Linked DNA regions of Xenopus tropicalis. The protein of the gene in region 1 purifies or fractionates together with the protein of each later gene. This does not show direct contact. Links are inferred from orthologs where the notes say so. Each region holds a gene or a part of one and is shown in the gene's direction. Other genes may lie near its edges.

Region 1 (6,981 bases):
TTTCTGGGATAAACCTTCTGTTAGTGGAATTTTGGCCTTGAAATCCAAAGTATGCAGTTTTTTTGGAGCAGTGCTTTGGGAATTTGGTAGTGTACTGCTGGGAGTTTTTGACCTATACAAGTGAGAAATCTCCATAAAACTATATATATTTGGTATTGGCACGTTCAGGAGACATGGGACTTTCCAAATCAGTTGTATATTCGTGCATAAAATAATTTTTGTTTCTAGTATGTGTGATTATATTATGGAAAATTTGATTTTTTTTGCATTTTTAGTCATTTAGAAGCCTATATCTTGTTACAGAATTGGAATTACACAAAAATTCTACCATATTTTGAAAGCTTAGGTTGTTCTGAAAAAAACGATATATTGTTTTCCTTGGTAAACTAAAAGTCCCCCCGAGGAAAGGCCCCTAAAGTGAAACAGTGCAAAATGTTCAAAAACTGTCTGGCAATACAAGTTCCGCTTTGACCAAAATGGCTGGCAGTAAAAGGGTTAAACCTTTTTCACATCTATAATAACATTGTCTTTGCATGCTATTTATAATTTTGCTATAAAAGTATTTGCCTGATGCTTTTACATTACCTATCTGATCCCCCATTTTCCTCTGAGGGGGCTGCCATATTTGTGTATCAGTAGTCTCTTAGCATTAGAAGCTATAACTGACAGGTTGAGAAGGGACAATCAGGTTGGCAAAACAGTGAGGTTTAGGAACAATTACTTACAGAAGCAAACTCAGTGAAAAATGATCAAAATAACCTATACTGTAGGTAACTTTTTATGTACATTAATATTTTGAAGAGTAGTTTTTTATTGTCAGTATCACTTTAAGAAGGATTTTGTGTCTCCTGTGCTTGCCTAGGACTCCATAGAACATTTGTGTTTTGATTTAATTTTTCAAATATACAACTTTCTCCATATACATGGTAGATTAACGACCATTATATGATGGTCGTTAATCTACCATTTACAGGGAGAAAGTTGTATATTACAGAGATAAGAAGACTGCGTTTAGGCCGCCACTGCCATTCTGCAGAGAATAGCAGTGGTCAAATGCTCCTGTCTGCCCCTCAGTTCTTAATTCTCAAGGATCAGGACAAGGTTTTGTAGCATCCAACAGAATCATGTGCTTCTGTATGTTGTTGCATGTACTGTAGTTGTATGTTGTTTTTGTGGCATGGACACTAATACCTTCAGCAAAGGAGTCTCATATAGTTAACTCCTAGGTATAGTGCCATTTACTCATTTACTGTGCCACAATTGAGGCTGATTCTTGTGGCTAGTGTCACAATCGGGTCAGCGCAGTGGCTTGCTCTGACAAGTGGCAACTTGGAGCAGTAATGTATTTTGTGAATAGTGATATTAGCAGTCAACAAGAAGTTCCATGACCATATACAGTAAAGGCATTAGGCATAGTGCTTATACAGGTTACAAAAGGGATACACTATTTATAATACACATTTTTCTTTTTTTTTTTTTAGTTGATTACTTGAAATCTCACTTTTTCCTTAATCTAAACTGAATTTAGTTTTAATTCCTAAATTTAGATTATAGAGAGTCATGCTTTAAAGTTCATTTTTAAATTCATTAACTGCCATTGCTACAGTAAATACTGTCAAACATAAATCTGTTTAGAAACCAGCTGCTTCCTCTTGTCAATTAGTTATTCTATGGAAGCATCAAATTTAAGGTGACCAAACCCTTTGGGACCATCACACGTGTTTATAAGATGCTTATTCCGCTGCATTCTTTAAACACACACTGCAACTCCAGTCCTGGTCACAGAAGATTTTGAGGGTGTTCTTGGCATTAATGATACAAATAAATATTTTTTCTGGAAAGCACTTGGAAAGGATATATATTAACACCAGACAGGACCAGGTACAAACCAGCAATGCCAAAGATAGGCATATTGCTAATAAGCTGAGGCATGTGGAGCCATTTTGCCAAAATATTGACAAACAACAGGAAACCTAGCTGATCTATTTTCCTGATAGGGTTCCAGCGCTAGTAAAATGCTGCCAGAGGTGAGTTACTTACCTTGCCTCATGGCAATAGAGCTCGCAAGGGGTGCATAAAAGAGAATACTAATGGCCTGAACACACTGATGAATTTGATCATGTTGTATTTGGTTTGAAGTGTGTAAATAAAATGTAATTGGTCAGAAAAGTACTCTTGCATGGACTGACCTGTTTTGATAGGGTAGCCACCTTTTTGTTAATGCCAAAACTATATTAGCAGAGAATAAATGTCTTGCATTGTAGGCTACACCAGTGTGTTTTTTTGTTTTTTTTTAAATCGGTGTTTGTCTGTGGGATATAATCATGTTTGCTTACCTGTGGATCAGTGCTCGGTAGAACCATCGGTACCATGGGCACCCAGCAGATCTGGCAGTGAACTGCAATATACATTTCCATATGTAAGGGCGCAGCTGTGATTGGCTACCCAAATGTAACTGTACATCTATGTGAATAAAATTAACACAAACTCATCACTAATTTTAACAGCTACAGGAATCAGAGGGGATAGGGTGTTCCAATAAAGATTCAGTATTTTAAATAAATGTCCTCTGTAGATGTGCTATTAAAATAAAAAAATATAGAATAAAAATGATATATAGTTAAATTTGATCATGGTTTACTGTTACTACAGAGCTATCCAGTTTTTCTTTTAACTACAGCTCCCATGATGCTCAGCCAACTAGAATGCTGCAGGTTAGGCATGAAGCACGTTTTAGGCCAAAACATATGAATAAACATGAATTCTCTTTTAGCATTGCTAGGAGGGTTCCAAACAATTTGCTTGGCAGACTTTGCTGCTAATGTTTCTAATTTATTTATCATACAGGACCAGATGAAGTTCTGGTTCCCACACAGGCTTGCCTGCCTCTGTTATGCTTTCTAACCCTCCGGGGAGTATTTTGTCTGTTAGTGTTTTCACATACTTTCTGCGTAATATAGGAAATCCAGTGAGTTCCACACACGCCCACAATGCATTTGCTTCTAGCTTAAAATCAGTATCCGTTTCCTCTGCTGCTGCTGCTGCTTGCAGTTACACTGACATGAGTGTGAAGGGGCTGCCTGCACAACCTGCATGGAAACATCCCCACTTTTCTCTCAAGGTATCATCAAACTTAAGGACACACTCTGTGACACCAGGTACAGATATTAATAATTCTGGGGGGATAGTCAGTGATGTAACTGCTGCCAGCCTGGAGTGGTTTTTAGGACTGCTTCACCAAACCGGCATCTTTACACCTGTTGCTTGGAAACACTATATATGCAACTGATTTCTGCTCCTGCATACTTTTATTCATTCTGCAGCAGTACAAGTGCTGCCTTTAATATAGTTTAGACTGATGTTAGATGGGCAGCATTCCATGAATTGATACATCCATATGTTAAGATAACTAAAGGGTAGTTCACCTTTAAACAAACTGTAACATCAACAAAAAATGAAAGTCAAGTCTATCAAAGTAATGTATTATTTACTATTGCCCTGCACCAGTAAAAAGTTGTGTGTTTGCTTCAGAAACACTACTATAATTTATAAACAAAACAGCTGTCTAGCCATGGGGGCAGCTTCTTAAATTGATAAAGGGAATTTATCTGTTATTTGCCATGTAACCTGTGCCTTTTTCCCTTTTTTGTAGCTTAAGGGCTCTGGCACATGGGGGAGATTAGTCGGCCGCGACAAAACTCCCTGTTCGCGGGCGACTAATCTCCCCGAGTTGCCATGACCTGCCATCCCGCCGGCTGGCACACGCGGCGGACGATTTCAGGAAATCGCCGAAAAAGACTCACGAGTCTTTTTCGGCGATTTGCGCAAAATCGCGCCGCCGCGTCTGCCATCCCGCCGGCGACTTACATGTTCGCCGGTGGGATGGCAGGGGTAGGCAACTCGGGGAGATTAGTCGCCCGCGAACAGGGAGTTTTGTCGCGGGCGACTAATCTCCCCCGTGTGCCAGAGCCCTAAATAGCTGCCCCTGTGATTACACAGAAGTTTACTTATATAAACTATAGTAAACACACAACCCTATAACAGTGCAGGGCAACAGTACATTATATTTTATTTATTATAAAAGATTTTTTTTGTTTTTCTCTTCCTTTAAGTTGCAGGATGTTTTACAGGATGTTCTAGCAAATCCCCTTTATTTTTAATAGTTTTTTAATTATTTGCCTTCCTTTTCTGTTACTTTTTACCCAAAAAACTAAATCACTTTGAGGAACTACAGTTTTATTGTTATTGCAATTTTTATTTCTTCTTATTCTCAGGTCCTCTCCTGTTTATATTTCAGTTTCATATTCAACCCACTGGTTAAACTATACCCTAGCAACCAGGTTGTTGCTAAAATTCTAAACTGGAGAGGTGCGTTAAAAAAACACACACACACACACACAAAATAAAGACCAACTGCAAACTGTGTGAATTTACCTGCCTACATCATACTAAAATATATTTTAAAGGCACATCTGGGAGAGACCTTTGTATGAGCTACTGATTATGGACATCAGGGCAAAGGACATTATACAGAACCTTTTAAAATACATATACTGGCCCATTTCAGTTGTTTCTATGCAGTCCGTTGTTGCTATGGAAAACTAGGGTACTCCCAAATGTGAGAAGCATAGAGGCTGAGCCCTGGAACTGCTGTTTCATTTTAACAATCATTAATTGATATTTCATTGGTACTTGTAGGAGCTGCCACACATGTGATCCTGACAATAACAAGATAGTAAATAATCACTTTTTTTAAATGTAACTTTTAAAATTAGTTATTTTTATTTTGCTTACTCTCATGTTCCCTAGGGGCAGCTCTATGATCAAGGTCCTGGGCTTCAAAGACTGTTAAAATGTAATACGTAGTTTGATATATTCTCATCCTTCCAGAGAAATGCCACCAATATTATACCACTATTATAGCAAATTGTCACTGTGTTAGTGTTTAGCTTGAAGTCGTTACTTAGTTTTCATTAAGTTTTCTGAAGGTGAATTGCACCTTTAACTTTCATAGCAAAATGACATTAATGTAAAACCTGTCTATTAATAGGATAGATTTTCCTTTCAATATTTTCATCTCCTTCTTTACATTCCACCTTGCAGTATAAATCTAGTCTAAGCTCCTGTGCCTGACAGAAGCACAATACTTCTTAGCTTGATGCCTTTCAGCAAGAGAGACCGAAGCTGCGCTGAAAGCTTTTGTTACATTAGAACAGTTGTACCGTAGACTGCATAGAGGAATGGCACACCTGTCGCCATATAATAACATTATATTATGCAATACAGCTTAAAGAAGAACAAGTAAATGAGCTATTTCAAGGTAAACTTATCTATAGAATATACTCAACAAATATGGAGCAGTTAAAAATCATGATAAATAGTGTGCTCAAATAGTCAGTGGGCTCTTGCCTACACTCCTAGGATGTCTAGAGTGTGGGCCTTTTCCTACTAGTTCACACTGTTCACTTCATGCACAGACCTGTAGAATGTATTCCTTACATAAATGTAAAGCTAAAAATAATCGTAATAACAAGCTCTCTCTGTTTAGATTATAGTTATGGTAAGTAAACAGTTGCAGGCACACTTGACTGACTTAGGACAATGTCACAATGTCACGCTGATGCATTTTATGCCATCCATTAATAGAAGAGTTGCACACAAAGAGTGTGGATGGCTGCTTGCAATACAGATCTCTGGAGCCAATATTGCTGAACATTCCTGGGATGTCTGTTGCGTAGGCTACACTACATCAGTGAAATAAACAATAAATATTTGGGTGCTAGTTTACTTGGGCATATATTGTGGGGAGGGTTGTGTCATGATACAAAGGATTATGTGTTTATTTTAGAAAACTACAAAATAAGGTAATGGAAACTTGGAAATAGACTGGTAAACTGAGAAATGGCCAAAATTTATATGGCACATGGGTAGCTCTGAAAGGTGAAATGCAGCAAATTGTGTCTGACCTGTGTTCTGCAGTTCAGTGAGGCACAGTGAGTCTATAGGGTAAATTGGGTTCTGTTAACTCATGCATTCCTGTCCAGTGGAATGTGATGTGTAAGAGCCCTTGGGAACCTCCAAAGAAAAACTAAAGCTATAATCTCTGTGGGGCACCAAATTATAATGCACCCCCCAGGGCTAATACCTCCTGTTAGCAGAAAACTGCAGTGGCCTAGGTATTTCTGGCTTCTCTTCTCCGGGTCTGTGCAGGCACATATGCAATACAGTGAAAATGTCAGCCTGTTGTGCCAAAGTTCAGCTTTCAGTCTACTAGGCATGCACCTGCCTGTTCCAAAGAGAAGGCAGAAGCAGCAGAAGATGTTGGAAAAATGTACCCTTGCTCCATGTGAAGGTGAATGTGCTGCAGTGTTGCATGGCCTGTCCACCTGACCTATGGCTGTCGAGGGTTATGGCCAAGAGACAAATTTGTCCCATGTTAATAAACAAGCCCCGATGACTATTCATGTGGATTTTCTTATATGGAATATGCCCTCAGGGTGCCTAACGTTTTGGCTTTTATGAGTGGAAGTTAGCAACCCCTGCTGTTGCTAATATGACCCCCCCCCCCCCCCGTGACTCCTGCCAGTGCATAACATCCACTGTTCAGTTTTTTTCCCAGGATTGTCACAGATCATGCTTGTTTGGCGAGGTCACCATATGAGTGGATTTTCCCCTGGCTAATATGAATTTCCTAGGTCAAAATGATTTAATTAAAATGACGATTATAGGGGCCTTCAGACTGAAGGCCACCTCAGTGAGCCGAAGTGGTCCCCAATCTGACACAAAAATCAAAGTGATCGACACCTGCCTGATTTTTGGCCAGATATTGCTCAGGAAGGCCCCATGCATGGGTAGATGAGCTGCCAAATGGGTTTAAAGGGCTTAAATATGCCCCTGTATGGCTACATTAAGGCTCCATGGAGGGTTGGCTCTGCTGCTCTCAGCCTGTGGAGAAGCAGATCTGCTCCTGTACACCTCTTC
Region 2 (6,257 bases), on another chromosome or scaffold:
AATGATTTTTTAGGAAACTTAAGGTATGGAGATCTAAATTACGGAAAGATCCCTTATCCGGAAAACCCCAGGTCCCGAGCATTCTGGATAACAGGTTGCATACCTGTACTACAACGTATATTTTTCATGAAACAGCTAAAAAAACTGTTATTTTTTTTGTTTTTTTTTTAAACATCTGGGCTGTATAATGTGATTTTTTAAAATATATTTAGTGGTATAGTTTCCCTTTAGCAGATAATTATATATAGAAGCCGTATTATTTTGATGACAGAATCCCTGTCGGATTAGGTGGCTAAAGAAACTGCTGAACTCAACTGAGAAAATTGGTTTCCTAAATGAGTAATGAAGTTGGGGCTCATCGCACAAACATTAGTCGCCTATTAGATGCGCGGCGTGTAAGCGTCCATCTGTCGCTGAGCTGGATGGGAAGAGGTGCCGCCGAGACAGGCCGAGACCTCTCATTTATTCAGTTTTGACACTCGTCTCTTCACTCATTTCCTTGCTGTGTGGGAGATTTGGGCTGTTTCTCTTTGTGGTTATTCGCAGTGGAAATTACCGGTGTGACTGGAGGCTGAGACCTGAGCTACATTTCATACGGCAATCAGGATGTGCTGGGAGCTGGGGCTCGGCCCCAGAGCCACATTCACATTCAGCTGGAAAGAAACAGCAGAAAAAAGAAAATAATTCAAAAACTTTAAAAAACATTTTGCTAAGATTAGGCCATTTTACTAAATACCAAAAATTAACCTGAAGGTTTGCTTTCTATATTATAAATGCAGTAGACTGAATAAACCTAAAGCAGAAGCCAGGGTCGGACTGGGGGGTGCAGGGCCCCTACCGGCTGCGTCCCCTAACCCCCCCGCCACAGGGGCCCCCACCCGACGTCCTCCCCTTAGTGTGTGTGAGTTTGACGTGTCAGGGGTGGAAAGGTCGGGCAGGATGAGCGCCGGCAAGGGAAAAATCCCGGTGGGCCCCGGCTCTAGTGGCCCACCGGGGCCCACTAGAGCTGGGACCCACTAGAGCTGGGACCCACCGGGAATTTTCCCGGTGTCGATCCTGGCAGAAGCAAATGTTTGTACTGTTAATAAATGACACTAAAGGGGTTGTTTATCTTTGATGCAGAGAGTGCTGTTCTAAGACAATTTGCAGTTGGTCATCATTTCTTATTGTGTGTGGGTTTTGGAATTTCAGCAGCTATCTGGTTGCTCGGGTACAACCATAGAAACCAGGCAGTGGCTTGCAAGAGAGACTTAGAATATGAATAGACGAGGGCCTGAAAAGAAAAGAAATAAATTGTAGTCTCGCAGATCAATCGTTTTTTTTTGGCTGCCGGGGTCAGTGACCCCCACCATTTGAAAGCTGGAAAAAGTAAGAAGGTCATATACAAGTGTACAATTTATTTGTATTATGAATGAAAGTAAATGTTTAGCAGTATCTGTGTTGGGCCAGGCTTAGGGAAGTTCTACATGGGGAAAACCAAGGTGACCAAAAGCTCCTTCCCTTTACCGAGTGGGAAATGAGAATATTTCCAGACAATAAACCATAGGGTAGTGTATAGTTACAATGAGTTTCTATATGAAACATAATGGCAGACTATCAAATAGGGGGGATTCAGCACAAACATCCTATAACACGCAATGGGTCTGACAGATAGGATGCAATGGTGGTGCCCTTTCTGTGCCTACAGCAGTGATCCCCAACCAGTGGCAAAGGGGCAACATGTTGCTCACCAACCCCTTGGATGTTGCTCCCAGGGGCCTCAAAGCAGGGGCTTATTTTTGAATCTATGGCTTGGAGGCAAGTTGGCAACACTTGAAACCTGTTTTGTGTCCATGCCGACATTTTTAGCTCTTCGGTTCCAGTTGCAGCTCCATGTGCTTGGCCTGTTCTGATCGGTTCTGTTATCTCCCACTAATGGGCCCTGTGCTTTGCTCTAGGTACTTGGAGAGAATGAGAAGCACTGGAAAGCGGTCCTGATGGTCCTGACAGAGAAGGATCTGCTCATGTATGATTCCATGCCTCGCATGAAGGACGCCTGGCTCAATCCAGTACATGCCTACCCACTTATAGCCACAAGGTACTTCCATCTCTCATTTCTCTCTCATCTCACTAGTAGGTTGGAAAGCCAGTGCACTTTGACTATCTTTAAATGTTGCACTAATATTTAGCCTATGGTCCAGTTGGTTGGATAGTGGGTCTTGGCAAATATTTGTTCAAGAGGAACTCCACCCAAACACAACTTAAGCTTGTTGAAAAGTAAACATAATTTTAAGAAACTTTGCAATATACATCAATTAATAAATATGCAACATTGTCATGATGTTTAATGTAATAATATGGTTTGGAACAGTTCCCTAAGCCCCCTGTTCCCCTGCTGATCTGGCTGACTACTTTGTGATTTAAAAAAAAAATGTGACATGAGTGATGTCAACAAGGAAAGGAACATCACAGTGCAATGCATTGTGGGTTATGTAGTTCCTGCATATCGGCCCTTTAGACCGATTCTGCAGCTTTTCCGCCTATGTATGGGCACAAACGACGGCCTGCCCAACCAATATCTGCCCAGAAATCGGGCAGATCTCCATCAGGCAGGTTTGATTTTTCAGTCAGATTGGGGAACACATTGGCTCGTTGATGCGGTCCCCAAACTGACTGCGCCTATACCCACCATTCTGATTCGATTTTTGGCCCCAGGGCTGGATTTCAGCATATAAAATGGTATTTATTCAAACTTTTTGAAGGAACAGATTACATTAGGGGTCACTGAGTTGTGTGGGGGCTCTTTAACAAATTTTGGTTTGGAAGCCAGAGATGACTTTTAATTGAGGGTTAAAAATGGGGGTACCATCTGCCATCAACTCACCTCCTTATTTTTCCAATCTTTTGTACTGTAGATCTCATGTACTCAGGCTCTGCCACATGTCTCAGAATGACAGCTGTGACAGCTGCTTATTTTTCCTTTCATTGTGAAAACCAGCAGTCACACATGGGAGACATCTCTATGTGCCTTTAGGGTAATGGTCCAACTGCGTCAGCTGAGCAACGGTGTAGCTGTCACTTTAGTGCCCAAATTTGAGTTTAATAGAGCATTTTTCAGCTATTTGCAATATTTTTCTATTTAATCTCAATCTTAGCTTGGCTATTTTTTCTCTTGCTTCCCAGTAGAACTAGAGGCGATTCCTACACTAGGTTTCATCTGCGTATTTGTGTCTATGGAACTAAAATAAGAAGGACAATAATAAAGCACAAATGAGTGCAAGTGTGGGAGAATACTGGGCCAGCTTTACCCATCGATAACTTTTAAATCAGGCCACTCTGGGGACATGGCTAGGAACATTATAATAAAATATTCATTGCTTTCAGAATCAATAACTGATCCATATAATGTCCCTTTTCATTCTGTAATGTCCATTAACTAGGTTAGTGTTACTGGGATTAGAGAGATGATGATCAGAAGTGTTTTTATTCATTATTTATTGTTCTCCAAATTAATCAATGATCCAGTTAATGTCCCAGTCCTTTCTAATAATTATTAAAGGGACAGTGGCACCAAATAATGGAAATATCCTACTTGCCCTTAAATATAATATTCACCTTACCTGCATACTTTCTAGCAGTTCCAGCCTTGTCTCAGTATGCCATTGTTTCTATGGCAGGCTAACTACAAGATCCTTTTTCGCTAAATACTAGAGACCAGAAGAGGGTCTGGCCTTGCAGCCAATGGAGAATAGCATTGCATTGTGGGAGATTCAGCCAAACAGGGCATCAATGGGACAGTAAGACATATCAGCATAGTTATTCCCCTATAATAAGTACAATTCTGATGGTATAGTGGTCATTAAGGGGCTATTCAAAGTAACTGTAGCAAGGTAATAAATAAGTTCCATTGTTTTCTATGGGGCATGCCACACAGACTATGATTTGAACTGAAAACTTACCCTATGGGTTGCAATCGTCGTTACATAGGGTTTAAAAAAGTCCATCAAGTTCCACCCTTCCAAGTAAACCCAGCACACACAAACCTATTAGCTACATTTCTTATGTGAAATTGGCATTAAGGATAATGTAGGACTGTATGGGATGTTTTCTGCAGCTATGTGTCTACTATTGCTGTCTTTACTACAACACTATTACAGCTGTACTACCTTAAATGTTCCTTCTTTTCAGGCTGGTCCATTCCGGCCCTGGGAAAATATCTTCCCTTCCTGGCACAGAGTTCTCATTTGCTACCCGGACAGGGTCGAAGCAAGGGATTGAGACCCATTTCTTTAGAGCCGAGACCAACAGGGATCTCTCCCTCTGGACCAGGTCTATTGTACAGGGCTGCCACCACTCTGCCGAGCTTGTGAAAGAGATATCAACTCGTAAGTACCACCTTGGCACAACTCCACTCCCTGCTTGAATGAATTAAGCACATTCTAAGTGTGTTCTGATATAACCAGAATAGAAAGTGCTTGTTCTTGCAGGATATTTACCAAATTTAAATGATGCAAAGTCTAAATGATCCAAAGTGTAAAGCCAGAGTCTTGCACAGATCACAATTAGCGTGTAGCATTGCTGCCATGCAGTGCTGGGGTCCTGAGTTTGGCACCAGGGTTGGACTGAGCCGGTGGGGCACCAGGAGAAAACCCAACACTAAAATGTCTTGCCAAGCCAGGACCAATCCCTTTCTCCCACCCTGCTGGCCAGGGTCTGCAGGCCTCAACACACCGCTTACATGCCAACATGGGAGGAGAGAGGAGGTACATGGTGAGGCACAGGTTGGCCGACCATTCCTCCCCTGACGCGTTCAACCTCACGTCAGGTGGGGGACCCTGCAGGGCATTAGGGAGGCTCAAAAGGGAGCACCTGCTTTGAGGGTTAGGGGGTGTGGGGGACGCGGCCGGCGGGGGCACCTGCCCCGGTGGGCCCTGCACCCCTAGTACGACCCTGCTGAGGCAGGAATTTGCAACACAGGGCTGCTGCCTCCCTCCCTGCTGGCTAAGATCTGTGGTCTGGCCCCCCCCCCCCCGCTAGCTGAGATCTTCAGGCCCGGGAGGAGAGAGGAGGTATGTGGTGGGGAGAAATTGCAAAAGGGTAGTTCACACAGTTGGGGGAGTTTGTGAAGGGGGTAATAGTGGTGGGCCCTTAGGTGACAGCCCCGGTGGGCCCTGGAAACCACTGTTTGGAACTATCTGCTATAATGTTTGTGTGTCTGCATGCAGGGCTGCTCAAGGGGCCAGTGGGCTCAGGGCAAAGCTGTGAGAGACAGGCCCCCTCACCAGCCCCACAAAAATTTGTAATAGGGCTTACCTTGAGTAGAAGAACATGAATATAATGGACAAGAGAAGGAAATAGACTGTGCTTACTGAAGTAGGCATAAGGTTACAGTACCCCAGCCTAGAAAAATTGCAATCACTGATACCAGATTTTTATTACAAAGACCCCATAGTGGCATTTGTTCTATTAGGATGTTAAAGCAAACAAATATTCTACAATAGTTGTGTCCTAACTGATTAATATGGGGCGTCTGTGTTTTGTGGGAGATGCGTCAGACAGACGTTATAGAAGCTGGCAGGTGTGAATATGGGACCCCAGTCCAAGTGGGCCCTGGGCAAATGCCTCATTTATTAAAACAACCCTGTCTGCAAGGGTTTCTCCCAGGTAGCCTATATTCCTTCCATGCTCCAAAAACATACAGGAAAGTTAAATGTAATGGGGCCCATAGATTGTAGGCTCTACTAGGGCAGGGACTGATGTGAATAATGTATAATCTCTGTAAAGTGCTAAGTAAATGTGTCAGTGTTCTTTAAATTGAATTGAATACAGGTAAAAGCGCAGGAATGATTATGAAACTAGGAAAAGTGCCTATATATACTTTAGCAGTGTTTTAAACACTATGTATAGCTAGGCACAAGGCAGCAAGGCACAAAAAGCCTCTGTTTTCCCAGAATTTCAGTGCAACAGAACACAATATAGTGTACTATGATTTACTAATGTGGGATTGGGGTTACTTACTATACATTAATCAGTGTTTCATCAAAGATTGACTGTGTGTAGGCACAACAGGCAAAGGGAACTCTGAAATAGCAGCTCCTTAAGGCAGGCATTCATTCCAGGATTCCGCTTCGTTTAAAGGTGCACATTTTAACCCCATTTTAGCGCTTTGCACTTGTGTTTGTAAATGAGCATTAAAGTTTGATACACATACATGGTGCCATCCAGTGGTGAAGGTTTTGTATTGCAGTGTTTCATTATGGTTAGGAGACAACCATATC
Region 3 (6,257 bases), on another chromosome or scaffold:
TTCATCATATATTGTAATAAAATGTGCTTTTTATTATTTTGTTGACATACATTCAAAATGAATATTCTCTGCTCAATCGTTCAACAATTGTTCAGACCTATTTTTGGGTTAAAAAAATTGATAAATCGTTGATCAAATGGTAAATTGATGAACAATACGTCCATAACATTATTTGTCTCTCTCAGCTGGACCAGCCATCCCCAACTCCAATTCCTACTCCAAGAAGACCCAAAGCAACAATGCTGAAAACAGGCGATCTGAGGATGACAAAGAAAGTGGGCGCAAGTCCAGCAGTACTGTCCGAGTTCCACCAAGTCCTCTTTCTGGGCTTGACAGAAAGAAGACAACACCAACCCCATCTACGGTCAGTTCTTGAAGACCCAGTGTTATATTTGCCTGTATTGTTTAATATTACTTATTGTGTGAGAATGAAAGAGTCTCTGATATAGTACAAACAATGTTTTTGTGTTTTTTTTTATGGTAATTAATTCAGGGAGGAGTTGATGTCACAGCCATGGGCAACATTCAGCACTCCAGGTTAATGGCCGCTAACTTTAGGGTATATGCTTAATTAAACAGTTCTATAGTTATCTTTACATTCTCTTTATTATGTAGTATTTTTTTTTTTTTTTACAGTGAACTAATCAAAATGTTTATCAGTGAAGTCATTGAAATTAATAGAAAACTAAACAGATAGCAAGGGGTCAGATTAATGTATTTATTTTATGCCTAAGGTGATATTAATTTTAGAGTAGTGTTGGTTAAACAAGGCTCTGGCATGCAGCTGATGAGTTGATCATGGACTGGGTCCATATACACAAATTTTCAGATATTTTCTGCAGAGCACAATAGGATATTTATTATTTGCCAGTGCTGGTTTGTATTTAAGGTGTGCTAGCTTTGTGCCTTGCTTAGTCATAACATGACCAGAAATACAGTATGTAGTGGATTATGTAAAGCAACCACCTTCTGACAATTGATATTAATGGTTAAGTACCCCCTGATGAATTGTTTCTTCACCCTTTGATGGCAAAGGAAAGGGAAATTCACTTGGGGTGCCAATGTGTTAGACATCCCCAATGAACGTTATCCTTAACTTCCACCATCTTGTGCAATGCTCCTCTGTGCTTTCCAGATAGCGTACATGTGCAGTAGAGTAAAATTTGTGACTTCAAAGTTTAAGCCTGGTCTTTACTGTACTGTGCAAGTGCGGTATTCGGATGAAAATCAGTGGGGCATTGGCAGCAGTGTGCAGCAGGAATACACCCAGGGCAATCTAAGGTAAGTGATGATATTTACTGGGATGTGTCTAACACATTGGCACCCTTTGAATTTCCCTTTTTCTTGTCCTTAAATACATAAATAAATAACTTCTGATTGCCAGTCACTTTCCTCCTTACATAATAGCAGTGGTTCCACAGGACTACTTGAAACTTTTAGATAATTAAAAATGTTGGAGTAGTTTCTGTTTTGTCCTGGCTAGACTCATCTTCTTAAAACTGTACCTAGTATGCACATATACAAAAAACAATTGTTTTACCTTGCAAATCCTGTGGATCTCTGTGATACTGCTCTTAAATAGGTTATTCTAAGAAGTAGTATTTCTAAGACAGTAGGGCTACATAGGGTACTGATTTCTGTACCTTGATTTTAGCTTTGATGTTTAAAAATGTTAATGTACAGGAATTCAAAGTATATCTGCAGATATGTGAATATGTAAATTGTGTGCAAATATGGCTGACTTTCATTATATAAATACCCTTGCAAATTATTTTGCTAGAATATCTATCAAACCTCTAGTGTCCTATGACTGCAGTCCATGCAGTTGTGTTCATACTGTTTTTTTCCTCAAAGTGGTGAGAATGTTGTTTTTGTGCATAGAGAGCATTGTGTGAGTTTTAAATATCAGATGCTCTTCCCCTCTACATTCAAATAGTCTGTTTAATTGCTGTTTTTTTTTTTGCCACTTTGCAGAACAGTGTACTTTCTACTGGCACTAATCGCAGTCGCAACTCGCCAATGCTGGACAGAGCCTCACTTGTGCCTGGATCTGTACAGAATGGAAAGGATAGGTAAGAAATTTGTCTTACCTTAATACTTTATATTATTCCATGTCTTTCTTCTTCTAGTAGTCTGGTATAACAAAGGTGTCAGATCTTTAGTCTAAGCTACTGATAGCTGTGTTAGGCTCACAATGGAACATACCTTCTGCAAAACGCTTCTATGCAATTCGCTACTTTTATCATTTATAAGCCTTCAATCACAATGAAACACATTTATATTTGCTACCATGAACACGCCAAGATTGTATCATCCCACAAGTGTCATGGAATATTATTAGCCCATGTTGTATCATCAGTGCATTCTCACCTTGTGATCTCTAGAAAATATATGTCCATAATACCTAGTCTTGTGTATCCCCCAGTGGAAGAAGTTCATTTTGTGTTGAAAGCCTTTTCATTACAGAAATCTCAGTGTCTCCCTTCCTCATTCTTTCCTAGTCTGTGTCTCCATTTTCTGTTTTGTTTCTCCATTTGAATATCACTCTCAGCTTCTCTACACCTGGGTCCCGTGCCTCCACCGCTTCTGCCCCAGCCACCTCTGCTCGGATCCGACAGCACCAGAAATCCATGTCCACTTCTGTGCACCCTTCCAAACCCGCTCCTTCCCTGGATGGAAACTGTGAAGTTCAAAGGCCAAGGCAAGTCTAAAAGGGACAAAAGAGCATAGATGAAGAACATAGATTATAACTTAACTTTTGCAGGCAGTGACTGGAGAATTTAGTGGCAAGTAATATATTCTGTATGACCGATGTAAATTTAGATTTATATTTATTACACATCATCATATTATTAACTGATATAATAATGTACAAATATGTATTTCCTTTCAAAGGGCATGACAACCCCCTTCTCCCCCCCCCCCCCAAAAAAAATGTTTGCCAATAAATTTACAAAAACATAATTCTAAACAACTTTCCCATATACATTTATTACAAATTTCAGTGGTTTAACAGTTATTTGTAAATGTAACAGCTATTACAATTACATTTGCTTAACTTCTGGTTATGACAATTTAAACAATGTTGCAAAAGTCAGTCTCCTCCAGCAAAGGTATGCCTTTTAATCAGCTGTCTTGTCTTACTGTTCCAAAGTCAGAGCCACCAGGGCAGAGAACAGAAAGGGACAGACAAACCACTGAAAATTTCTAATGAATTTATATTGCAAAGTTGCTCATGATAATTATTTTTTTTATTAGGTAAAATGTTACTTTTCTATTGACATGCCCTTCATTTTCAAGTATATGTTAGGGTTCACCAAACTATTTTTTTAACATTATTGTAGGTGTGAGCATATAGAACTCTTCATTCTACTTACTCACTGTACCAAGCATTTCAAAGTTCAGTATATAGAAAAAATATGGTTTTGTAAATCTATATATCTCAAGTACCGTAATAGTCAAAAGGGCCCTTTTAATTTTAGTGAGTGAATTTCTTCTCTAATTAAATTTCATCTCTAATTGGTTGCTGTGGGTTACTACGGGGGGCAGATTTGGGTGGTGTTTTTAAATAAACCACTCTGGGGATCCTTCGCCATCATTGGACATTTAAATCATAGGCAAGAGAGCCACTTGTCTTTGGCAATTGGCTCACACGTACAGTTAGAGGTCAAATGATGTGCAGTGAGGTGCAGGGGGTTGTTCAGATTTAAATTTGACATGAAGTCTAGGAAAGCAGAAGATAACACATATTTTGCTAGGTTAATGTTTAAGCAAGTCATTCCCCTTCCAAACAAGAAATCTACAGCTTTTGAATCAAAATGCTTTTTTTCTAGAATGATATATACAGTTCTCCTGAGATATACTGTGATCAGTTTATTGGCCTCCTATCTTACAAAAATGGTATTGTCACCACTTGGTTTTTAATCTGTAATAATTAAAAAGTACCTTGCAGTTAAAATTAACTAAACTACCATAATCAGTGTTAACTGCAAAACAGTCATATTGGTTTAAATTGTAATACAGGTATAGGACCCGTTATCCAGAATGCTCGGGACCAAGGGTATTCCAGATAAGGGGTCTTACCGTAATTTGGATCTCCATACCTTAAGTCTGCTAAAAAATCAATAAAATATTAATTAACCCCAATAGGATTGTTTTGGGATCAATTACAAAGTATTGTTTTATTACTACAGAGAAAAAGGAAACCAGTTTTAAAATTCTGAATTATTTGATTAAAATTGAGTCTATGGGAGATGAGCTTTCCGTAATTCGGAGCTTTCTGGATAATGGGTTTCCGGATAAGGGGTCTGATACCTGTACTTCCTTATACAGGGATATGCTTTCAGGTTAATGAAATAAAAAATCTAAAAAACTAAAAATAATGTCATGCCTGTATTATGAATAAAGTGTTGTTATAAGAAGGGTAACATTGATTGAACCTGTATAGTTTTTGCACATTTTCAAGAAAATATACCTCTCAGTAAGTAAGGTGGGTGCTGTAAAAAGGGTTCTCTGTAGGTGTTTTTGTTAAATTAAAGAACTAAAGCAATTAAGTAACAAAACATATTGTATATAGATACACCAAACACACTTTCAAAAGAATTCAGACCCTTTAAATCATACACATCATATGTGATATTTTAAAGCCCTACAGAAGACATTCTGGGAAGGTAACTCCGTATCGCTCCTCAAAGCACTTTTACTTTTTAAAAAAAATATATATATATTTTAATGTAAAGTCATACACTAAATCACAATTAATCAAATATGCAATTTGCATTAGTATTCACTCCTCCCACAGTAATATTTTGTATAGCCGCCTTTGCGTATGTACTGGCTTTGCACACTGGGAGTGAGTTTGGGCCATTCTCCCAGGCAGATTTGCTCCACGTTGTTAGGTTAGTCAGATGACATTTGTGCACCTCAAGTAGGCGTACCTTACTGCTGCGAGACGGCTTTTCATCAGCAGGGACTGAGCGTCCTGTTAAAATAGACAGAAGAATGGTTGGTGCACAGTACAGGTAATTGGTGCAAAATACAGGTAATTACTATAAGAGAACATGTTTCAGTCTGTTAAAGAAAAATGAGGCTTGAGGGAAAATTCATCTCTCAACAGAATAACTATCCCAAACAGAAGGCCAGGGTAACAACGTGAATGTCTACAATAGCCCAATCAAAGTGGTGATTTCAGTACAACTGAGAATCTGTTGCAATATTTGTTCACAAAAAATCATGTGGTTAGAATAAACATCCTGGAGCATATCTGCTAATAAAACAATGTCACATAAGAAAAAATATGTTTTAAGTTTCACTGCATTTAGTGTTGTACCTCAGTGTATAATTTCTTCAGAAGAATTTGTGTATAGCCAAAGTACCTTTGCAAAGTACCATGGTGTCTTTGTGTGTATAATATAATACACACACCTATGAGTGCAGTGCTTTTTCTTTTTATAGTTCTCTTTACCTGTACCCAGGACTGTTCAAACAAAAAATACCTGTCTCCTCAACTCAAGGATTTTGAAATGAAACACTTTTAACTATCCAGATTAGACCAGATTACCTGTAAAGGCTCATGGGACACAAGCAACTTGTACTACGTGTTTTTTTTTTTCTTTTGGTAGAAAGTCTGTGGAACAATTTATAATATAACTTCCCTATACATTATAATGAAACCCAGTCAGTTACTGAACTGTCAGTATTACTCTTTGCTTCAAAGCCACCATTACACCATTAATTGCCAGTTTATAAGCACTCCAGATGCTACTTATAGCTTCCAGTCAGTTTGTATAGAAGCTAAAATACAGTTAAAGCTGGCCATACACAGTGAAGTCTGCCACTTCGGCCACCTACATGTTGGGCTAAATCAAGCTGATCACTCAGTCACTTATCTCTTGAAAATCCAGCAATATGCATTTTGGAGCGACACAAGGATCAAAGAATCACAATGCTATTCATGCATTTTGTCACCTGTACTATAGGCGATCTTGGACAGAAGACAAATTGCCCAGGGTGCCATTACTCCTTTAAGGGGCTGCTGAATATTTCAGTAGATTTGATCTATTTTTCTAAAGGCTGCTTTATGGAGTGCAATATATCTATGTATATACATATAGTACTGCTGTGAAATTTAGTTCATTTATACTTTGGGAGGCATATGTTTATGTTTTATAGAATATATGTGTGGGACGTATTGTGATTTGTTATTTTTTTTTTATGTCCTCCACAGCACAGCCCCCCAGAGAGTGCCTGTAGCATCC
Region 4 (6,257 bases), on another chromosome or scaffold:
GTACTGGCACTTTTAAATGAAAAAGCTGGAGGCAACTTGTATGATATGAAATGCAAACTTTTGAGGCATAATCCTTTGCTCTTGGGGGTTATATTGCTAAACACAATCATTTTAAAAGCATCCAGTTTACAAATCTGGGATTGACAGTATTTATGCAGTATCTGTTTTTCTAACATCTTTTCTAACGTCTCATTTTTTCTTTTTACAGACTCAGGGGGCTGGTTCCCCTCGCTCATCTCCTAGTCATACCATTAGCCGACCGATACCTATGCCTATTCGGTCAGCATCTGCCTGCTCCACCCCAACCCACACTCCTCAGGATTCTCTGACTGGTGTTGGGGGAGATGTGCAAGAAGCTTTTGCTCAGAGTATGTTGCTAACTAATTTAAGCTTGTATTAAATGATTGTCATACTGTTTTTAAGAAAGGGAGGAAAACACTAAAAAGGGCAAAACACATTTCAGCAAGCAGCATACCAGCGGTGTAACTACAGGGCACCAGGCCCCCTGCAAAAAAGTCTTCAGGGGAGCCCGCAATGCACTGTAACCCCTAACCCTGCCACTCTCCACTCTGTGCCCATCTGTTTCCGTTCCACCAATCTTCTCTTGCTAGCTCTTAGGTAGAAGAGCGACTGGAGAGGGGGAATTCTCTAGAGCTATAGAGGAAGCAGATTCCATGGTCTGGCCCCCCTTTCCCCTGGGGTTGAGTGTGTTTCCTCTATATTTACATCACTGCAACATACCTTTTATCAAATGTACATGCAAACTGAGATGCTTGTTTTCAAACGTGTGCTTCGCTAAGTGATTTCCAGTTGGTGGAAGCCAGGTAAAGTTATGTTAAATAGAACTTTACTGTGAGTGCTGTTTCCTGTGGTTGGGCGGGGAATCGTGTAAACCACACAGTCACAACTGACCAAACTCACTGACTGGGTGCAGGAGTACTGCTGCCACAAGGCAAGTTGTGATTCTTGCCTCAGGCGGCAGAGCCCATTTGTTTATCAGGGATTGAAAAAAGCTGCTCCTGGTAGCCATGTTTGCCCAAATTGAGAATTTTAAATTGGGATTTCGGCTCTACTAGTGAAGAGAGCACTATTGCATTCTTGCGTACTCTAGTCATGCAGCAGGGCGGGGGGCAAGAGGGACGACAATGGAAAGGGGCAGAGGGGCCCGGACTGGGTGCCACAGACAAACTTAAGGTACAGCTTTCTCCTGGTTATGTTGCCTCAGACACAGATTTGAACAAAGCCCATTTATAAAATACTCTCAAAATGATGCTGTTTCAATTGAAAAACTAATGTCAGTGTAGCTATTACTGTAGCAAATAGGAATTAAGTAGTTACGTTAACCTGTTGAATGGGAGCATATGTAAAGTAATTTTATGCCAAAAATCTGCATTAAAGAAAGCACATACAGTATTTATAGAGGTGCCCAGTAGTGTAACTATAGAAGAAGTTGGTCTGCTCTCTCTCTATAGCTTTAAGAAATCCCATCTCCTCAGCCGCTCTCTTACCTACCCAGCGTGAGTTGCTGGGAAATGGGGAACACAGTGGGGTGGGTGTTTAAAGGGAGGGCTGGGTAGGGGCGCACTGGGCACCTCCAAAGATGTTTTTGCGGGGGGCCTGACACAGTGTTATGCCACTGGAGGTACACAGAGGTTCCACTTTGGTGTAAATTCCATATGTAAAAGTTTTGGTGCATGTAGTTATAAATGTACATAAACTAGAATTAACTTTGCACAAAGCAATCAACAGTGTAAAAGCATAGCTTGTATTTCTGTGCCACTTATTGCTCCACTTTAAAATGATCCCTCTAAAATTCAGTCTGTTGGTGTTAAGGGAGAGAAGACCATTTGTCCTGATTTCCCAGGGTTCCTGGGGTCCAGACTGTAGATAAACGTACCAGGAACGCTTGTTGGTCGGCTGCCAGCCCAGTCCCCAATCCCCTGTGTAAATACCTTGAGTGATCCAGTCAAGATAAATTTTTCTCCTTGTGTGGCAAACTGGAGAGGTATCACATGATGCTTTTTCACTTAACTCTGGATCAGTTAGGCTGGTTTAATTTACACCAAAACGTGAAATGGATGCATGTCTTGAAACTGAAACTTGTATTTTTTAAAATCGTTTAAAAAAGTTGTTGTCATCAAGCTGCAACTCTAACAATCCATCAGGTTTGGGTGTTAGAAGGGGGTGCTTGGGAGATATAGTTTAACAGCATTCTTCTCCACTCGGATCATTTTCCCTAGTTTTACATTGCCCCTTTTCATCTAACTCTGACCCATAACGTAAGCTAATCTGATATAAGAGCAAAACATTGACAGTCTAAATATTACAGTTTTTTTTAACTATCTTTGCTTATATTAACTGATATTCACATATATTTTCTCTTCTTCTCCAGGTGCAAGGAGAAATTTACGTAATGATTTACTTGTAGCAGCTGATTCCATTACCAATACTATGTCTTCTCTGGTTAAAGAGCTGAAGTCAGGTGAGTGTCTAGCGCTAAACACAGTGAGGTCAGTATACACCCATATACAGCACTGCTCAACATGACCACAGTGAATAGAACTTGTGTTGAAAATGTGTTCTTTTGTTTTTTCCTGAACAACCTCTCCCCGCATTTCCGCCTCGCAATAGGTTAATTAAAAAGCGATATTAAGCTCTGCATAAACAAACCCATCCTTTACCCAAACTGATGCGAGGAGCAGCTCATTAACCAATTGGCTTATCTTTGGATTGGTAGCTGGTAGCCAGGAAGCTGGAAAGTGAAAGTTGGCTTCAAATTCAATCTTTGACATGTTTTGTGAAAGAAATATAAAAACCAAAGATATTTCTGTAATTAATATGAAATAGTGTGTTCAGCCGTCTTATTCATTGAGTTTATACTCAAAAAGATGATAGACTGACCCTTTAAGTGATGTTCTTCAAAGAAGGCTTCTATGAATAAGGTCACTTTGAAGGAGGCTTCAAAGAATTCACAGTAACAATAAAAAACAATAAAAAACACTGGCACTTCTGGCAAGTAACATGTCATGTAAACACAAGCTATTTCAGTTATTTACAGTTACAGTTATATCTAGATACTCTGAACTATCTGTCTGAACCACAGTTACCTGGTGATTAGCTCTGCAAAGTTTGGGGACCTTAGTATTAATATATAAAGAATGGCAGCAGTTTAAATTTAAACATATGAAGTCTATAGGTGAAATCTGATTGGCTGTTGGCCCCGCCCACTTTTCTAAACTTGGAACATAGTCACCCAGTGACAAACTGGGCAAAGTTTTGGGACCCTGACATTAAACACGTGAGAATGGCAGCAGTTAAAATTATCCCATTGAAAACAATGAAAGAAATGTGATTGGCTTTTGGCAGCCCCACCCACTTTTTCTAACATTGAGTATGTAGTCACCCAGTGACTGACTGTGCAAAGTTTGGGGATCCTGGCATCAAACCAGTAGACTTAAATAGGTGAAATCTGATTGGTTGTTGGTGGCTCCGCCCACTTTTCCATACTAAACCTTCGGTCCCCTAGTGACCAACTGTGAAAAGTTTGGGGACCCTGGTGTTAATTCTGTCAGAATGGCAGCAGGTTGAATATCCCCATTGAAAGTCAATAGGTAAAATCTGATTTGCTATTGGTGGCTCCGCCCGCTTTTTCTAACCTTGAACCACAGTTACCTGGTGCCTAACCCTGCAAAGTTTGGGGACCCTGGTGTTATTACTGTGAGAATGGCAGCACCCCTAAAACTGTAGGAGGAGTGGCGTTTAGAAAATGGGGGGCGCTAAGAATAAGAAGAAGAAAAAGAGGAAGAATCAGCTGAAGTTGGGGGTTTTCAGCCCAACATAATGATTCAGTTGGAATAAGCTTGCAGTTCTATTTTGTAATATAGCATGTGAAGGGAGCAGGTAGAGGCTTTTATAGACTGAATCATTTGATGAGCTTTCTGCTTCAGAGATATGGATACCCTTAACGTTTTAGTGATCAAAGTTGTGTCACTTGCAGACTCCCCAGGACACATACTGTAAATTAAACCAAATTCAAATTATTTTATGATTAGCAAAATAACTGAGAAGAGCATTCATGGTAAATATTGGCCTATTCAGGTAAAACAAATAGGTATATATTATAGCAGCCTTACTATAGCTACAATATGGGCTGTACATTAGCATGAACAAATTCTGACATTATTAAAGCCTTAACTTGCACTTCTGATTCATCCTGAATGAGGCTTGACATTTAGCATTTCCTTCTGCTTTACTGATTGCTGTTTGTACGTCACATACGGATAAATTAAGAACTTATCCTGCCAGGTGGGTGTTAACACAAGCTATTCAGCATCTAATGCTCTGTATGTGGGTGTTATTTTATCCAGAGAGCACTGAGTCGTTTATTAATACTAGTTATTTGCAAATACCTATGTTTACATTTGTCCAATAAGTCACAAGAAACTTTTGCACTTTATAAAGTGCAAAAGTCTCCTTTGGCATCACCTGTAAGTGTGGATCAGTGAATTTTCTGTATGTGGTTTGAGAGGGAAGGTAAACACCAGATAAACACCAGATATTTCTTTTGTAGATGTTGGAAATGAAACAGAGTGTGGTGTGGATACCGAATATGGCCGTGTTCATTTTGATGATTTGGTTCCTTCCCCAACCTCAGAGAAGGCATTCCTTGCCCAGATCCATGCACGAAAACCAGGGTTTAATCATCATTCTGCTGCTACTGGCAACATTCGCACTGACTTGTATGTATTTGTTTCAATGCATTACAACAATGACATGTTTCTTGCTAACAATACAGAGCCTTGGGCTTTCCTTTATGAAGACTGTAGAACATTCATAAGGGCAAAATTTGGAACTTTCCACAACCTAAAAAAAATGTTTTTATTAGAACTGCACTTGTGTCCTATGAGCTGCTGATGGTAAGAATACTGACCAGGAGTTCTCCACTAATTATCTACATCTAAAGACACCAGAGTTCCAACATCTCTAACCAAGAAAAATGCCTTGTTCCATGACAGGACCAAAATTCAATACTTGGTTTAATACTTGGACCTAAATGCAATACTTGGTTCAGTACATCTGGATTCCTATACACATGTATTCCATAAAAGGCAACGTTTGCCCAGTAGCAGTAATCCATGGCAACCAATAAGATGTTTGCTTTTAAATAGGTGACCAGAAAATTGTACTTGCTTATTGGTTACTATAGGTTACTGCCCCAGGGCAAACCTTTATTACAAAACCTCTTTTAGCTCTAAAAGTAGCCAAATGACAAGAGCAAATTCCCTTCTGTTTAAACTCAGTGAATACTGGGTGTCCTTTATATAAGCCCAGTTGTACTGCTTTATGTTCCAAAATCCCCATTTCAGAACAAGACTATTGTACCAACTGTGTGCCTATACACCATACATATGTAATTATGGAATCTATTATACCAATGTTTCTTAATCTTGGGGTTGTGACCAAAAATTGGTGTCTGTTCTGTCTATAGTGGGCCTTCGTTATACTTGTGATGAAGTATAATTTTTCCTACACTAAATAGTAATTAAAATGGTTGGATAATAAATTTTTATCTGATTCTTGGGAATACTTGGGATCTTCCTGACAATGGGTGTTTCCAGAATTCGGTATACTGTGTTGCCATGAATATGAATTTATTCTGGCTTATAAAGCATAAAGTACAAGGCACTTTTTCATTAGTACAGAGAAAAAGCAAATCACTTAAATAAAAGAATTGTTTTAGCACAGGTTAGATCAGTATTTAGCGGTCATTATCTTGCACTGAAGGTTGCACTCACAATATTTGTCTGTGATTCAGGAATATATGTCCTCTTAAAGTGAACATTATGTTGGACAGTGCAGCATTTCAAATCTGCTATGATCTTTTGCCAGTTTTGTTTTTGTTGTGTGAAGTCTAATGTATTATTTTAGCGCTTTGTGCCAGCAGTTCTTTTTAGTGTTTTTAGCAGCTGGAAACAATATACATTTTTACTTTAATCTCTGACAGTCAATAACATTTAATTTGAACAGTGCCGCTGTAATCATTTTATAAGATCATCTGTCTGCTTTTTAGGGGTACAGAGGGTTCCTACGGTCGGCATGATGATGAGACTTATGAGAATGACTCTGTGCGCCAGTTAGAACATGAGCTGAAGATGGAAGAGTATTTAAAGCAGAAGTTACAAGATGAAGCTTATCAGGTGATAATTCAAACACTTAGCACTTAGGAAGACATTTTTTTGAAAAGCAGAACAATGGCA

What was found.
Region 2: the proteins of utrn (region 1) and sntb1 purify together in Homo sapiens (affinity purification with mass spectrometry; 3 studies listed by BioGRID and IntAct, with this or other methods). This does not show direct contact. The link is inferred for Xenopus tropicalis from reciprocal best matches to the Homo sapiens genes UTRN and SNTB1.
Region 3: the proteins of utrn (region 1) and mark2 purify together in Homo sapiens (affinity purification with mass spectrometry; 4 studies listed by BioGRID and IntAct, with this or other methods). This does not show direct contact. The link is inferred for Xenopus tropicalis from reciprocal best matches to the Homo sapiens genes UTRN and MARK2.
Region 4: the proteins of utrn (region 1) and dtna purify together in Homo sapiens (affinity purification with mass spectrometry; 3 studies listed by BioGRID and IntAct, with this or other methods). This does not show direct contact. The link is inferred for Xenopus tropicalis from reciprocal best matches to the Homo sapiens genes UTRN and DTNA.

The regions. Positions count from the first base shown.
Region 1 is NC_030681.2:45,399,026-45,406,006, forward strand, and holds the start of utrn (utrophin), read left to right. Parts: upstream 1-3,025; 5' UTR 3,026-3,061; coding exon 3,062-3,158; intron 3,159-6,981.
Region 2 is NC_030682.2:138,612,503-138,618,759, reverse strand, and holds part of sntb1 (beta-1-syntrophin), read left to right. Parts: intron 1-1,937; coding exon 1,938-2,077; intron 2,078-4,167; coding exon 4,168-4,364; intron 4,365-6,257. UniProt on the Homo sapiens protein: Adapter protein that binds to and probably organizes the subcellular localization of a variety of membrane proteins. May link various receptors to the actin cytoskeleton and the dystrophin glycoprotein complex.
Region 3 is NC_030680.2:36,150,950-36,157,206, reverse strand, and holds part of mark2 (serine/threonine-protein kinase MARK2), read left to right. Parts: intron 1-185; coding exon 186-364; intron 365-1,974; coding exon 1,975-2,072; intron 2,073-2,551; coding exon 2,552-2,701; intron 2,702-6,226; coding exon 6,227-6,257. UniProt on the Homo sapiens protein: Serine/threonine-protein kinase. Involved in cell polarity and microtubule dynamics regulation. Phosphorylates CRTC2/TORC2, DCX, HDAC7, KIF13B, MAP2, MAP4 and RAB11FIP2. Phosphorylates the microtubule-associated protein MAPT/TAU.
Region 4 is NC_030682.2:112,828,345-112,834,601, forward strand, and holds part of dtna (dystrobrevin alpha), read left to right. Parts: intron 1-208; coding exon 209-368; intron 369-2,392; coding exon 2,393-2,482; intron 2,483-4,570; coding exon 4,571-4,739; intron 4,740-6,070; coding exon 6,071-6,197; intron 6,198-6,257. UniProt on the Homo sapiens protein: May be involved in the formation and stability of synapses as well as being involved in the clustering of nicotinic acetylcholine receptors.